Linked DNA regions of Rhinolophus ferrumequinum. The protein of the gene in region 1 interacts with the protein of each later gene in a pairwise test. Links are inferred from orthologs where the notes say so. Each region holds a gene or a part of one and is shown on either strand. Other genes may lie near its edges.

Region 1 (7,116 bases):
CTTAAGCCAGAACTGAGGCCACAGGGGTCAGAAGCACAGCTTTGGCGGGGCTTGTGAGAACACTCAAGCAGAATGGGAAGTAGTAAGCTTTGGACTGCTCTGACAGCAGAAAGAAGCTGGGGCGGCGGTAAGGATGGAGGCCTCGCCACGCAGACGGGCTGTATGGTTCTGAGCAAGTCACCTGACCTCCTTGAGCCGGAGACTGCTATGAAGTGGCGGGGACAACAGTACCTACCAAATGAGGGGTTGTTAGGAGAAACTAAAGCCAGGCATGGAGTGTGCTGAGCACAATGCCTCGCCCCCAGGCAGGGGCCCGAGAAACGGACTCCCTGTCACCTGAAGAGACCTGGTAGGGTCTGTCCTTCCTCTGGAAGCATCTATAGGGACCAGACCTGGCTTCCCTGCCAGGACATCTCTTAGGCTCTGAGGATCAGCATAATCACACAGGACAGCTCACTGGGTACCAAAAAACCACAGATAGAGAGACAAAAGAGAGAAGAGAAGCAATAAGGGACCTCCCGACTCCTTGCCACCTTCTATGACAGTTCATGAAGGACCATACCAACACTCTTACGGATGGACACCAAGTGTTCCTGGCTTGCAATGGCTAAGGACATGGCCACAGACAGCAGGCTGGGACTGTCCCCTAAACTCATGGGCAAACGTAATATAAAGGTAAGGCAACATGCTTTCCGAAAGACAAAACCTAGCCCGAGTAGTTCCTTACGAACTACGAACGGTAAACGGATGCGAACGAAGGAGAGCCTGCAGCAAGAACTGGTTTCTTACATGCCTTTGGCAAGGACGCACACCAAGATGGAATAACCTTGAGATGATTCCTATGTCAGCTAAAGTAAAACAAAGGATAAAAAACAAAGGCGACAGCAACATTTTATGGTGAGTCAAGAGACGAGAGACAGACACACCTCTGCCACCCCCAGCCGTGTAGCCCTGGAGAGACCACTTCACTTCTGTGAGACACAGCTTCCAGGATCTCTGAAATAAGGACCTGGGCTCAGACTGCCTCTCCCTCCATCACATGGCCTCCCCAAAAATGACCTGAAAGGGAGAAGAATCCGGAACTCTCTCACAGTTTGCAGGCAACACCAGGTTCTGAAACACTGAAACAGCAGGGAATCAGTGCAAAGATCTGGAAGAAGAGGTGGGAAGGTGACATCTGCGCTTCAAAGAGGGCTGGAGAGGAGAATGCGATGAGGGACAACCATCCAGACTCCGCCGCAGCTTGATGGCATTTCTGCCATCAGACACATGCCAGAGAAAAAGCTGCATGTCACAAGGCCTCCATCGTGTGTATAACTTCTGTCTTAGCCAACCCAGAGAAAGCTATCATCACGGAGGAACCTGAAAACAAATCAGAAGCCCCCATCCTGTTCTCTACAAAAATCATCCTAAATCCTTAAAAACCTGAGAGAGATGCAAAACAGTCAGAGAACTCTTGGAGAAAGATAACATTAGGCCACAGGAATAGAGCTTTTCAGCCTGGCCCTGCAGAAGTGGTGTGTAATCCAAGGCCCAGAGGAGAACTTGAGCTTTTCACCAAATCCCAGTGCATGAGCCCTTAAAGAAGCAACATGAAGATATCTAACAGGAAGGGATTCTGAGACATGGGGCGGCAAACATCCGGAAGGCATTACAGCCAGGGAGTGGCACAGGGAGGAATACTAAAGACCTACAAGAATGGTTCAAAAGACCATGGGGTGGGCCGGCTCGGTGGCTCAGGCGGTTGGAGCTCCATGTTCCTAACGCCAAAGGCTGCCGGTTCGATTCCCACATGGGCCAGTGGGCTCTCAACCACAAGGTTGCCGGTTCAACTCATCCAGTCCTGCAAGGGATGGTGGGCTCCGCCCCCTGCAACTAACAACTGGACCTGGAGCTGAGCTGCACCCTCCACAACTAAGACTGAAAGGACAACAACTTGACTTGGAAAAAAGTCCTGGAAGTACACACTGTTCCCTAATAAAGTCCTTTTCCCCTTCCCCAATAAAATCTTTAAAAAAAGACCCTGGGGTGATGGGCTGTGCTGTTACTAAGGGCCATGTGGGGTCCACTGACCACCAGTTTCCAGGTAAAAGCCAGGCAGTGCAGTCCTGCCCTCACACCGCACAGCCTGTACCCTCACTGCTGCACACAGGGCTGGCAGGAGCAGCTGCGGCCTCCCTGGGACAGGCACCCCTTGGTCGTGGCCACCCCTGTGTCCGGTAAGGAGACCAGTCCCTTTCCCCCTTCTTCTGCCCACCTGCTGAGAAGCATGATGAGAACGGCAGCCTCGCCTCAGTCAGGGACACGTGTATGGTTCCAAGAGCCAAATTCCAACTGCTTTACTAAGGCTGGAACTGACTCCTGATTATTGAAAATAACAGACTTCCCTTTTCTCTAATAAAAACCCAACTACTGCAGAACTCAAAAATAGCTTTTAAAATCCAGCTGTATTAAAAGTTCCTTTTTCTCCATCAATCAGCTGCCCCAAAGAAACCTTCCCACATCCCACAGCTCCTTAGAAGGGGCCAGCTAATTGTAACGCCTAGCACCTTATCTTTTCTCCACACGCAGCGCCCCTCCTCCAGCATTATCCTAAAATAGCAGCAGTCCGGATTAGCACGGCGGGAAGAGTAAGGGCTTGGCTGAATAACATCTTAATTAATGAGGGGCGGGACCCCAAATAGAGCCATCCAGTGGGAATGAACTGCAGGCAGGAATGGGGGGCTGTTTCCTTCAACCAAGTCCTGCCCCTGGCTGTCTCAGCTTCAGGCCACACCACATTCTTCTGCTCCCCACCCCGCGGAAGAGCCCCGATCGCCCAGGAAGAAGAAGGCCAGCGTGCAGCGCCCTTACCTTTCAGCAGGTCTGGGTGCACATAGCCCAGCACGTCGGAGACCCCCAGCTCCTGGCGGGAACAGGTGCCACCGTGGATGTGTAGCCAGGCAGGCTCCGCGAGGGCAGTGCACAGAGCCGTGATGGAAAGGGCGCCCGGCAGGGCCGAGGCCAGGCTACGCTCCGGCTGCTTGGGCAGAGCGCTGCCTCCCGGGCTCCTCCGCCGGCGCCCGCCGGGCAGCCCGGCGCCTCCGGGGGCGTACATGCCCAGGGGCCGCCCGCCGTCGCTCCGCGGTCACTGCTGGTCGCCGCCGACCTCCGCGGGGCACGCAGAGCCTGCCTGTTTCAGGGAGAAGGCAAGTGGTAAAAAAAGGGCTGCCGGGGCAGACAGCGGAGGCTGAGGGGTAGGACCTGGGCCCGAGCGGAGACAGGAGGACTGCAAGGATTCAGGGGCGGGGACGGGGTCCCTGGAATGGGAGGTGCGGGGTGAGGACTCGGAGAGCGCTAGGGGCCGGCTGGGAACTGGGCAGACCCGGGGGGGGGTTGGGGAACGGAGGTGTGGGCTACTGGTGGGAGAGAGACCCGGACCCAGGGTCTTGGCCAGAGGGCACCGAGGGGAGAAGGACCAGGCTGGGCCGCGGGGAATCCGGAACCCGGGATCCTGAACCGGCGCTCTGGGTCGCGACCTCTGCCCAGATAGGACCCTCCCCACACCGACCGCTGTTTCTCACCAGTCAGCAGCCCTCAGAGCCGGGATGGCGCCGCTCTGTTCCGTCTCGGGCTCTCCAGGTGCCTGGGGCCGAGCTATCCCAGGCCCCAAACCCGCAACGCCCGGACCGACCCGGGTACGACCCACTTCCGGCTTCCTCTGCCTCTGCCTCCGCCTCCTCGGGCTCCCCGCCCCGTCCCCGCGCGCGTCACAGCCCGGCGCGCCGCCGGCTCCCTGCGCGGGGCCTCACGGGACTGGTAGTTCGAGGCAGTACCGCAAGGCTTTATGCCGGGGAGTGGGAGGCCGACTACAACTCCCAGAGGGCAGCGCGGCCGCAGCCTCAGGCACTTCAGTTCCCGGGACGACCCGGGCTCTCGGGCGGAAGAGGCCCGAGCGGTGGTCGCGGAAGCCAAGGGGGCGTCGTGGACACCTTAGCGGTGGGACCCGCGGTCGAAACTCTGCCACCTCCTCCTCGTTCTTCGCCGGGCAGCCATGAAAGACTCGCTGGTGCTGCTGGGCCGTGTCCCGGCGCACCCGGACTCGCGCTGCTGGTTCCTGGCCTGGAACCCCGCCGGAACCCTGCTGGCCTCTTGCGGGGGAGACCGCAGAGTCCGCATCTGGGGCACGGAGGGTAAGGCCTGGCCTCGGCGCGCGCCCCCGCTGCCGGGGACTCCAAACTCGCGGGTGCGCGGCAGGCGGACACTGGCTGGAGAACGGCCCGGGGAGAGGGGGGACAGGCCTCCTGGAGGTGGACGTTAGCCACACTGAGAAAGACTTTTCTGGCAAGTACTAGAAGCAAAAACGTCAGGAGACAGGTGGAACTGTGGAGATAATTGTGATAGTTGCTGAGGCAAGAAAAGGAGAAAAGGACGGTGAAAAATAGCCTGCGGAGTAATTTACGAGGACGGTGAAGTTCACGTTTTATGCCGAGGGCATTGGGGAGCCACTGATCATTCTAAATTGGGGATTTGTTTCAGAAGGGTGATTCCTCAGTGGAAGTAGCGTCAGTTACTTCTTTCTGAAAGCATGTTGTTAAATACACCGGTTGAGCTGTTGCCCCAGTTTGGCTCCAGTACTAGCCCCCATTATTAGATGGCTTTGATAGTGTCCAGTGCCTGGTTGTCCTCTGCTTTTAGGTGACAGCTGGATCTGCAAATCTGTCCTTTCTGAAGGCCACCAGCGCACTGTGCGGAAGGTGGCCTGGTCTCCCTGCGGCAATTACTTGGCCTCTGCCAGCTTTGATGCTACCACTTGCATTTGGAAGAAGAACCAGGATGACTTTGAGGTAACCAGGCTGGATGGGACCAGGATTGTTGCTCCTTTGTTCCCCAAAGGTGGTTCAGAAACCTGAGTCAACCTGGGCCCATTGAGCTGTACCCATGAAAAGCATCCCAGAAGTCTTAGCTGCCGTTGATTCTTGACTCTCTTCCCTTTTCAGTGTGTGAACATTCTGGAGGGCCATGAAAATGAGATCAAGTCAGTGGCCTGGGCCCCATCTGGCAACCTCCTTGCTACCTGCAGCCGAGATAAGAGTGTGTGGGTCTGGGAAGGTGAGTCCAGGTCCCTCCAGGAGCACTTGGGAGTTCACGGACAGACATCCGCCTCTGTGACCCTGACAGGGTCATCTCATGGACTCCATTCCTTTTTCCTCCCGCAGTTGATGAGGAAGATGAGTACGAATGTGTCAGTGTCCTCAACTCCCACACACAGGATGTTAAGCATGTGGTCTGGCACCCGAGCCAGGAGGTAAGAGTCACGCAGAAAATCTTGGTGGGAAGGAGTTCCGGTATGGAGGCCGTGCCCAGGCCTCTGCTCTTCTGTCTCGGCCTGGCTGTTACAGGGATCACTGTCTGTGACCAAAGGAGAGACAGTTCCCTGGGACTGGCCTGTCCAAGCAAGGAGAAGTATTGGGATCACAGGCACTTCCTGGGCCATAAGTGCTGTTTCCCTGCGTCCCCAGCTGTTAGCCTCTGCCAGCTATGATGACACAGTGAAGCTCTACCGGGAGGAAGAGGATGACTGGGTATGCTGTGCCACCCTCGAGGGCCATGAGTCCACTGTGTGGAGCTTGGCCTTTGACCCCAGTGGCCAACGTCTGGCGTCTTGCAGTGACGACCGTACGGTGCGCATTTGGCGCCAGTATCTACCAGGCAACGAGCAAGGTAAGCAAGAGAGTGGAGCTGAAGGAGACTGTCCATGAAGTTGACAGTCTTCTAGGGCTGAAACAGTAGGCAGATTGGGGCAGAAGGGGGGATGTGCCGCCAGGGGGCACCAGGGAATGCTGGCAGAATTAGGGAGAGCTCCGGGGAAGGGTGCATAGGATTTTAACACGACCAGAATTCTGGGTGAAAACAGAATGGCATGAGCCAAGGCATTAAAGGTGGGAAAGCCTAGACTTAACTAGAACAGTGAGTCCTTTAGATGGAGCACAGGGTCTGAAGGGATTGGAAGAAAGCAGGTGGGTGGCCTTCAAAGGCAGTCTAGCTAGTCAGTCTGCCGCAAAAGGGTTCTTGAACAGGACATTTCCTCCTCAGAATTCTGCTGTGAAAACACCAGTCAGGCCACAGTGTGAGGCAGATCTGTGAGGAGTGATGATGGGGCCTCATGAGGGAGGGCAGTTAGGATCTGTGCAGTGGGGCAGTTACTCCTTGAGGTGCCCAGGACACAGACATGTCTTGGACTCAGCAGAAGTCTGTCGTGCAGGGGTGGTGTGCAGCGGCTCTGACCCCAGCTGGAAATGTATCTGTACTTTGTCAGGCTTCCACTCCAGGACCATTTACGACGTTGCTTGGTAAGACCTCCATCTTCAACCCCCACCCCCAGTTTGCAGAGGTTTAGAGAAGTCAGACCAGTGCTGCTCTCTGTCCCCTTTGGGTGTGCATGGGAACAGAGAGCAGCACCCTCACTTCTTCAGAACAGGCCACACTATGCACCCTGCTGGCTTAGAGCTGCCAGCCCGGTCACAGGACCTGGGACAGACTTAGACCCAGGCCTACACCTTGCGTCAAGCTCCCAGGCTGTGAGGGCAACACTGGCCTTTGGGGTCACACAGCATCGCACCATCCAGAAATACTCATTATTGTAACTGTGGGTTCATGGCTGGGGTTGGATAGTTTATAACACTGGCTCTGCCTTGAGGAGGCTACGAAAGCCACACCATTCCCGTGGAACAGTCAGTCAGAGGGCAGTTCTGACCCAAGAATCTATTCCTAGGAAATAATCCTAAGTAACGAGAGAACAAAGTCTAAGCTTTGTTTACATTAGCAAATATTTGGGAATAACAAAAACAGACTTAAGTAAAGTATGGTTAACTTCATTGGCTTGTTATATCTCGGTTTGAAAAAACTGGTTGAGCAAGCTTCATGACGAGAGAAACTGCTTATGCTCAGTGACAAAAGTACAGTTCAGAATCACGTAGTTTTTTAGGTTAATTACAATGGGGAGAAACCTAGACGGCAGCACTTGAACACTTACGGGGTGATGTTTGTGCCTATGTGTTAGGAGAGACCTTAGCTGAGGCCTGGGACTGTACAATCAGTCTGCTCCCTTGCTTGCTGGGTCGGGGAGGGAGGGGC
Region 2 (6,938 bases), on another chromosome or scaffold:
ACCTGTGCTGCCTGAATGAATGGATGTTAATTTCTTATGAGAAGGGCAGTGGTTCATCCCACATCCCAAGTCAGACTCTTAGGGAACCTCATCGCTCCCCCCGTTTCCAGCTGTAAGAACATACACATGCCCCTTGGCCCATGGCACCGGGCCCTGTTGGTTGGCGCAATGACTGTGCAGAATGGGGGTCCCCTACTCTTCAGGGAACTACAGTACCTACTGCTAGAGTCAGGGGCTCCTACAAAGTTCATGGAGCCCACCCAAACCTCTCCCAGAGACACCTTCCCTGGTGGCAGAGAATACTTGGCATAACTGGAACCTAGGGAGATATATGTCTCTGCTCATCCCTTCGGCAGGAGCTAATGCCCTAAGTGCCAAGCCCTGAGCCTGGGAAAGTTACTTCACCCTTCCAAACCTCAGCAGGCGTAGAGGAAAAATGCATATGGGAATCCACCAAACTCAGAGGGGGAACTGGCCGTGGGGTTTAGATGAAATGACAACTGCAGCCCAGCCCAGAGTTCAGAGTACCCTTTACCCCAGGGCGTGGAGTTCCCTGAACGCCCTGCTTAGGTGGTTGGGTTGGAGGTCCCATCCTTTACACCATTCCAAGATTCAGGGGACTCTCGGGGTGCAAATTGCAGCAGCCCTGGAAGTGACTTGGCAAAGGGATTTCCCAGGAAGGTGTGGACCCCCACATCGGTGCCCTTCATGTGGATGAGGCTCCCCTGAAGCTGTCTCGTGTGTGTGGTCCAGATGGGGCTGGCAGAGTGCTGGCTTGTGGGCAGAGAAATGGACACTGTGTCTGCCCAATCAGCTGTCCCCCCAGACTATTGATGTTGCCCACTCCTTCCCATCCTCATCTCAGTTCAAGGGGCTCTGATCTACAAACATTTGTATTATAAATTTCCTGCCTGTAATCCTGCTCCACCTTCACCCCCTACTGCCTTCACTGGGTCCAGCCCCAGCCTTTTCCACACTTAGTGAAGCTCCCTGAGGCCTGGCACCATGGCTTAGTCCAAGGAGTTTCAAGCAAATGGTCACATGAGTTTGATGGGGTGAGTGTCCTTTCCACTGACTGCGTGCCAGGTCATCTGAGGAGTAGGAGAACTGAGAGAATCAGACATTCAGGGTTCTCATCTCATGCTCTAGGTGGCAAAAAATGACTTAAAGAAAGCATCCTCCAGACAAAGAGTGGTGTTATGAGGAGATCTACAAAAGAGAAGTGGACATAAGAAGTCTGCAACATAAGAGGCGCAGCCTGTCCTGCTATGGGGATTGCCCTAGAGGGGGTGATTGAAAGTGACCTAACAGCGAAAAAGCCGATATTCTTAGTAGACAAAGAATTTCTAGAAATAAATAAGAAATATGCCGGCTGTGCATATTTGGTGAAAGAATATGTTCAGATAGAATAAGGAAAACAAATAAATGGCTCTTACACAAATGAAGAGATGTTCACCTCACTCATGCTAAGAGAAACGCACATTGAAATCTGTCATGTCAACAACTTATTTTGTCACAAAAAACAAGACACTCAGACATTGTATGTTTTCTATTGGAAGTCCATAGTACCACATGTGAAGTAGTTCTGCTCCCAAACAAAACAAAGCAACACATGAAACCTGAATCTGATAAAGCTTCTAGAATATAAATACAAATTTATAGGCATACAGGGGACAGAAAAACAGTTAAAAGACATCACTGGGGTATAATCAGCAAAACCCAAACTTTGGTATCCTCTCCAGAACAAATAAACTGGTTTTTTCAACACAATGAAATTACAAGGAAAATAAAAGAGAGGCAGAGGAGGAATCTGAAGATTGAAAAAGACTCATGAAATTCATAAAAAAGGTAAATAATAACAAATATTGGTAAGGATGTGGGAAAACTGAAACCTTCATAGATTGCTGTGAGAAGGTAAAATGGTGCAGGTGCTCTGGAAAAGTCTGGCAGTTCTTCAAGTGGTTAAACATAGAGTTACCATATGAGCCAGCAGATCCACTCCTAGGTATAAACCCGAAAGAACTGAAAACATGTATACACACAAAAACTTGTACATGAATGTTCATAGCACACTTATTCATAATAGCTAAAAGTGGAAACAATCCAAATGTCCATCAACTAATAAATGGATCAATAAAATGTATCATATCTACATAATGGAATATTATTCAGCAATAATAAAACAGAAGTACTGAATATGCAACAACATGGATGAACCTTCTTTTAGTGAAAGAAGCCAATCACAAAGGACCATATGTTGGATGATTCCATTTATGTGAAACATTCAAAATTGGCACATCCATAGAGTTAGAAAGTAGATTGGTGGTTGCTGGGGCTGAAATTGGGGATTGGGGTGGGGGCAAAGGGGAATTGATGTGGTAAACTCTGTGAATATATTAAACACCATTGAATTGTACACTTTAAATGGTGAAGAGTAGTAAGCTATGTGAATCATATCTCAAAACTGTTAATAAAAAGAAAAACACATTTACCAATTTTCAAAGTATGGGCCTTATTTGAATCCTGATTTTTTTTTAAAAAAAAAAACCCTGTAAATCTATCATTTATGAGATATGAAATAAGAACATTTTAGATATTTTATTATATATACATATACACAGCTTTTTTTAGTAGGACATGTTGAAAAATTTATAGATGATATGTTTGGAATTTGTTTCAAATAATGGTGCATGGGAGAGGTGATAATCCAGACAAAACGAGCTTTTTGATTATTGTTGAAAGTAGATCATGGATGCATTGGGTTCGTTATATTATACTCTCTACTTCTGACAGGTAGCCCCTTGGTGGTGTGTGGCCTTGGGCAGCCCATACCCTCTCTGGGCTTCAGGGTGCAGGGACGTATCCAGTTAGGCTCCCAAATTCCCTGGTGCTATCTTTACTGACTCTCACCTCCCCGGCGCCTTCCCTCCTGTAGGCTCAGATTCTGCATCTGCGGAATTTGGCAGATCTGAGCCTGGTTTCATAATACAATGTAAAAAACGAAAAGAAAAATCCTCAGGGAGTTATACTACCCTGTACCTTTTAGACCAACATGGGTTAATATGATTGATGCCACCTGATGTAAGGCTAGAGTCAGCAGCTACTCACAGGTTCCACAGAGGGCAATTGAGCGATGCCTTTCCAAGTCAGAGAGCCCACCCCTCTCCTGAGCGACATGCTATCTACACACAGTTCCTTGCAGATGTGATGTTTGTCCATTTAATTCACTGCCACCACCAGCCTCTCAGGTCGGGAGTTTGAACTGGGCAGGGAGTAGGTGGAGCGCGCCAAGTGGGTGAAAGAAAGGTGGGTTTGGCAGGAGAGCCGAACTGAGCAAGCAAAGGTCAGTGGCAGGTGGGCACTAGCACGGCCGCTTCCCCTCTGCCCAGGCCCCCTTGGGTCACCTCGGAAGGGGCCAGCGAGGCTTCTGCAGCCCCTCTGCAATACGATGAACCCTCTCCTCAAACCTGAGTTCAGTGTCCTTATAGTTACAGGCCTGACAAAGGTGTTCCGGGGTGGAGCAAGGGAACTCTAAGCCAGGAAAAGGGAAGGGAAGAAGCCAGGAACCCAGGAGAGCTTCCTTGAGGAGGTGCACCATCAGGATTCCCACAGATGGAGAAATGGGAACGATCTAGGTTCAGCATGAAGGAAACCGCATGAGGAAAGGCAGGGGGGTGTGACCGCCCTTCATCCTGAAAGTTCCTCCTTCCTTTCAAGATCTTTCCTGGGTCCACCTTCCTTATCTCTTTATTGTCTGTCCCTAGTCTGAGGGCTCCACGGACCCCCTCCCACCTGCAACATAGCTCACTTTCTGAAATGCACATGTGACTGTGGCACTTGTTTTAAGGATACCCCCAACCCTACCACGTGGCTTTCCCTCTCCCCACCTCCCGCCAAGATCGAGTCAACGGTCACTTATTCATTTGATAAACATTTAAAGAATGTCTCCTGATTTGCACTGTGGGGACCCTGCAGGGTACTCCTTGGCCCATGGTGCGGCGGGGGATGCAGGCGCATCCCCGGGAGGTACCGAAACGTATGCCAGGAAAGATGCAACTATGGGAACAGAAGCGCCCGCCCAGCCTAAAGGGACAAACGTCCGAGGAAGTGGTGCCTGAAGATACACCTGGCTCAATCTCAGACTGGTCTTCAGTGCCCCCGAGAACCCGCTGTGGCCTCCGCGGTCCAGCACGCTACGGGACCTCACCGCCCAGCGCGTCTTCTCTGTGCCTAGACGTAGCGGTCACATCCTCGGGAGTCGGCACAGCGAGCGTGCGAAGGGCGCAGGCCCTCCTAAGGCCTAGGCCGACCAGCCGCAGCACTGCATGTCCCTCGCGCGACCCCGTCGTCCCGCCACGCCCCTTCCCGTTCCCCGGAAGTACACCCTAAGGAGCGGAAGTGCTTGCCGACTGGGGTCTGCCGCGGTTCCGCGATGGTGGGTGGCAGTGGGACGCGGCATGGCCTCCTGGAAAACGCTAACCCCCTCATATACGAGCGCTCCGGGGAGCGGCCAGTGACCGCGGGCGAGGAGGACGAGCAGGTTGCGGACATTATCGACGCGCGCGAGATCTTCGATATCCGCTGTTGCCGGGCGCGGGCGGGTTCGCAGGGGCCTGGGAGGGGGCATGAAGTGACGTCCGATAGTTGGTGGAGCTGTATCATGTCCAGGCATTCCCAGAGGGGGGTTCTGAGTGGGCAAAGGCGCAGAGTCCGCTTTCCTTCACTTGCCACATCTCATTCGATCTATCAATGACCCGGAGCATCCACTGACGCTGGAAGAATTGAACGTCGTAGAGCAAGTCCGGGTTCAGGTGAGTTACCCAGCGTCGGAGGTGAGCGACTTGTTTGGGAGAGTCAGAAAGCTGCGTGAGCGCCCAGGGTCTGGCGTTCTTTCAGTTCACGGACTCTTCAGGGGATCTTTGGAAGGGAGGGATTGTGTCCATTTTATGGATGAGGAAACTAAAGCCCATAGAGGTTAGATGACTTGCCTGAAGCCACAAACTAAGAAGAGCAGCTCTGGGCTAAAAGGGCCATGACTAACACCCCCCACCAACCAGGTGAGCGACCCTGACAGCACAGTGGCGGTGGCCTTCACACCCACCATTCCTCACTGCAGCATGGCCACCCTTATTGGCCTGTCCATCAAAGTCAAGCTTTTGCGATCTCTTCCTCAGCGTTTCAAGGTAAGCTGGACGTGAGCCCTGGGGGTGGGGCAAGGGTGAGCATCTGCTAGTACTAAGGGGGACATAGAGAGCATGAACACGGACATCAGAGTGAGACCTGGAAGGATCCCAACTAGCAGAGATGAAACTGGGAGGAGACTTTTAATTGAATGCGACAACAAGAATAAAGGCCTGAGCTGCAAGAGCGGAAAAATAGTGAGGAGTGTGGCAGGAAGGACAGCAGGGTGCTATAAATAGGTTTGGAGCAGGGATGGGGCACCGGCAGGCCTTTAACAGCAGTTGGCCTGTCCTTTGAGTAGAGATGCCAGTGGCCCTGGGTGGGTTTGGGGTGTCCTGGACAGGCCAGCGTCCAGAGGCATGAATAGGAAGGGAGAGAAGCGGGTAGGTAGGTCAGGGGCAAATGCTCAGGCCCCGCCTTACTCCCTCCCAGATGGACGTGCACATTACGCCAGGGACCCATGCGTCAGAGCATGCAGGTAAGAGAGGGCTGGTGTTGTGGCATTGGCCCTGAGGCTTCCCCCTTGCGGTGGAGGTTTGTAGGGCAAGGTGGGGGGGGGCGGTGCTGCTGCGTGGTGACTCCTCAGGAGAGAGATCAGCTCAAGACTGAAGCTGGACTGACTTGAGTCCCCTGTGCTTACTACATTCCCCCGCTCCTGTCCTCTCCCCCTCCTAACTACACAGGACCAGGGGTGTCAGGCTTCATAGTAGTACAGGAGGTAGGCATGAGCAGGCAGGTGGGAGGAGTCCCAGAAGGTGGGATAGGTGTGGGCACAGGTTGTTGGGGTAGCCTGATTGAGGCTTGGGGTCCTGGAAAGGAGGTGATGGAGGGCTTGGTTGGCGGGGGTACGTATATAATTCCCTCCTTTCTACCCAGTGAATAAGCAGCTTGCAGATAAGGAGCGGGTGGCAGCTGCCCTGGAGAATACCCACCTGCTGGAGGTTGTGAACCAATGCCTGTCAGCCCGCTCCTGAGCCTGGCTTTTCACCCCCAGTCCCACCCAGGGGTCATGGCCTTGTTTTCTTGAATCACTGACAATAAGAAATTAACATTTTCATTTTATAATAAATCTTTAATTTATATTCCTTTCTCAGCATGCCTTAGAGTCTTTCTTCGTGGTGGGGTCACTTTGGGTTTGGGAGGGGGTGGTGCTAGGTCAATGAGGTGCAGTTTACTTGTATTTAAAAAATTTCTCCGAATGGTTTGATTGGAAAACTTGCAAGTATACCAAAAAATTGAGAGTAGAGTAATGAACACACCTATGAGGTGTGATCAAACAATACGATGAATGTTTAAATTTAAAAAATGCATTACAGTAAAAGGCACATTGCCATCAATCCCCCTCCAAATACTCCCTCTCGCTTCAAACACTTATCCCATCGTTCTTGTCACTTTCTGAAGCAGTTCTGGAAGTCCTCTTTTGTGAGTGTCTTTAGTTGCGCTGTCATGGCTGTCTCGATGTCCTGAATCTATTCAAAGCATTTACCTTTCATAGTCATTTTTACTTTGGGAAAGAGCCAGAAGTCGAGATCCGGTGAATAAGGTGGATGAGGACACACCGTAATGTTTTTGACAGGACTTGCCATACTAGAAGCGATGTGTGACATGGAGCGTTGTCCTGATGGAGGGTGATTTATGGCATACTTTAAAACACACCTTCCTAGTACCATCGAATATCTAGTCATATATGAATTTCCCCAAAATGTCATTCATAGTTGTTTTTTACTCAGGCTCCAATCAAGGTCCGTAGCTCACAC

The links.
Region 2: the proteins of CIAO1 (region 1) and CIAO2B interact in binary tests that used the Homo sapiens proteins (3 or more experiments, as listed by UniProt). The two-hybrid records come from large-scale screens. The link is inferred for Rhinolophus ferrumequinum from reciprocal best matches to the Homo sapiens genes CIAO1 and CIAO2B.

Annotation. Positions count from the first base shown.
Region 1 is NW_022680356.1:1,913,237-1,920,352, forward strand, and holds the start of CIAO1 (probable cytosolic iron-sulfur protein assembly protein CIAO1), read left to right. Parts: upstream 1-3,866; 5' UTR 3,867-4,033; coding exon 4,034-4,172; intron 4,173-4,677; coding exon 4,678-4,826; intron 4,827-4,979; coding exon 4,980-5,091; intron 5,092-5,198; coding exon 5,199-5,287; intron 5,288-5,501; coding exon 5,502-5,703; intron 5,704-6,244; coding exon 6,245-6,332; intron 6,333-7,116. Other genes in the region: TMEM127 (transmembrane protein 127), read right to left, coding at 2,854-3,097. UniProt on the Homo sapiens protein: Key component of the cytosolic iron-sulfur protein assembly (CIA) complex, a multiprotein complex that mediates the incorporation of iron-sulfur cluster into extramitochondrial Fe/S proteins.
Region 2 is NC_046298.1:16,779,070-16,786,007, reverse strand, and holds CIAO2B (cytosolic iron-sulfur assembly component 2B), read left to right. Parts: upstream 1-4,374; 5' UTR 4,375-4,432; coding exon 4,433-4,574; intron 4,575-4,731; coding exon 4,732-4,811; intron 4,812-5,057; coding exon 5,058-5,183; intron 5,184-5,613; coding exon 5,614-5,659; intron 5,660-6,057; coding exon 6,058-6,155; 3' UTR 6,156-6,274; downstream 6,275-6,938.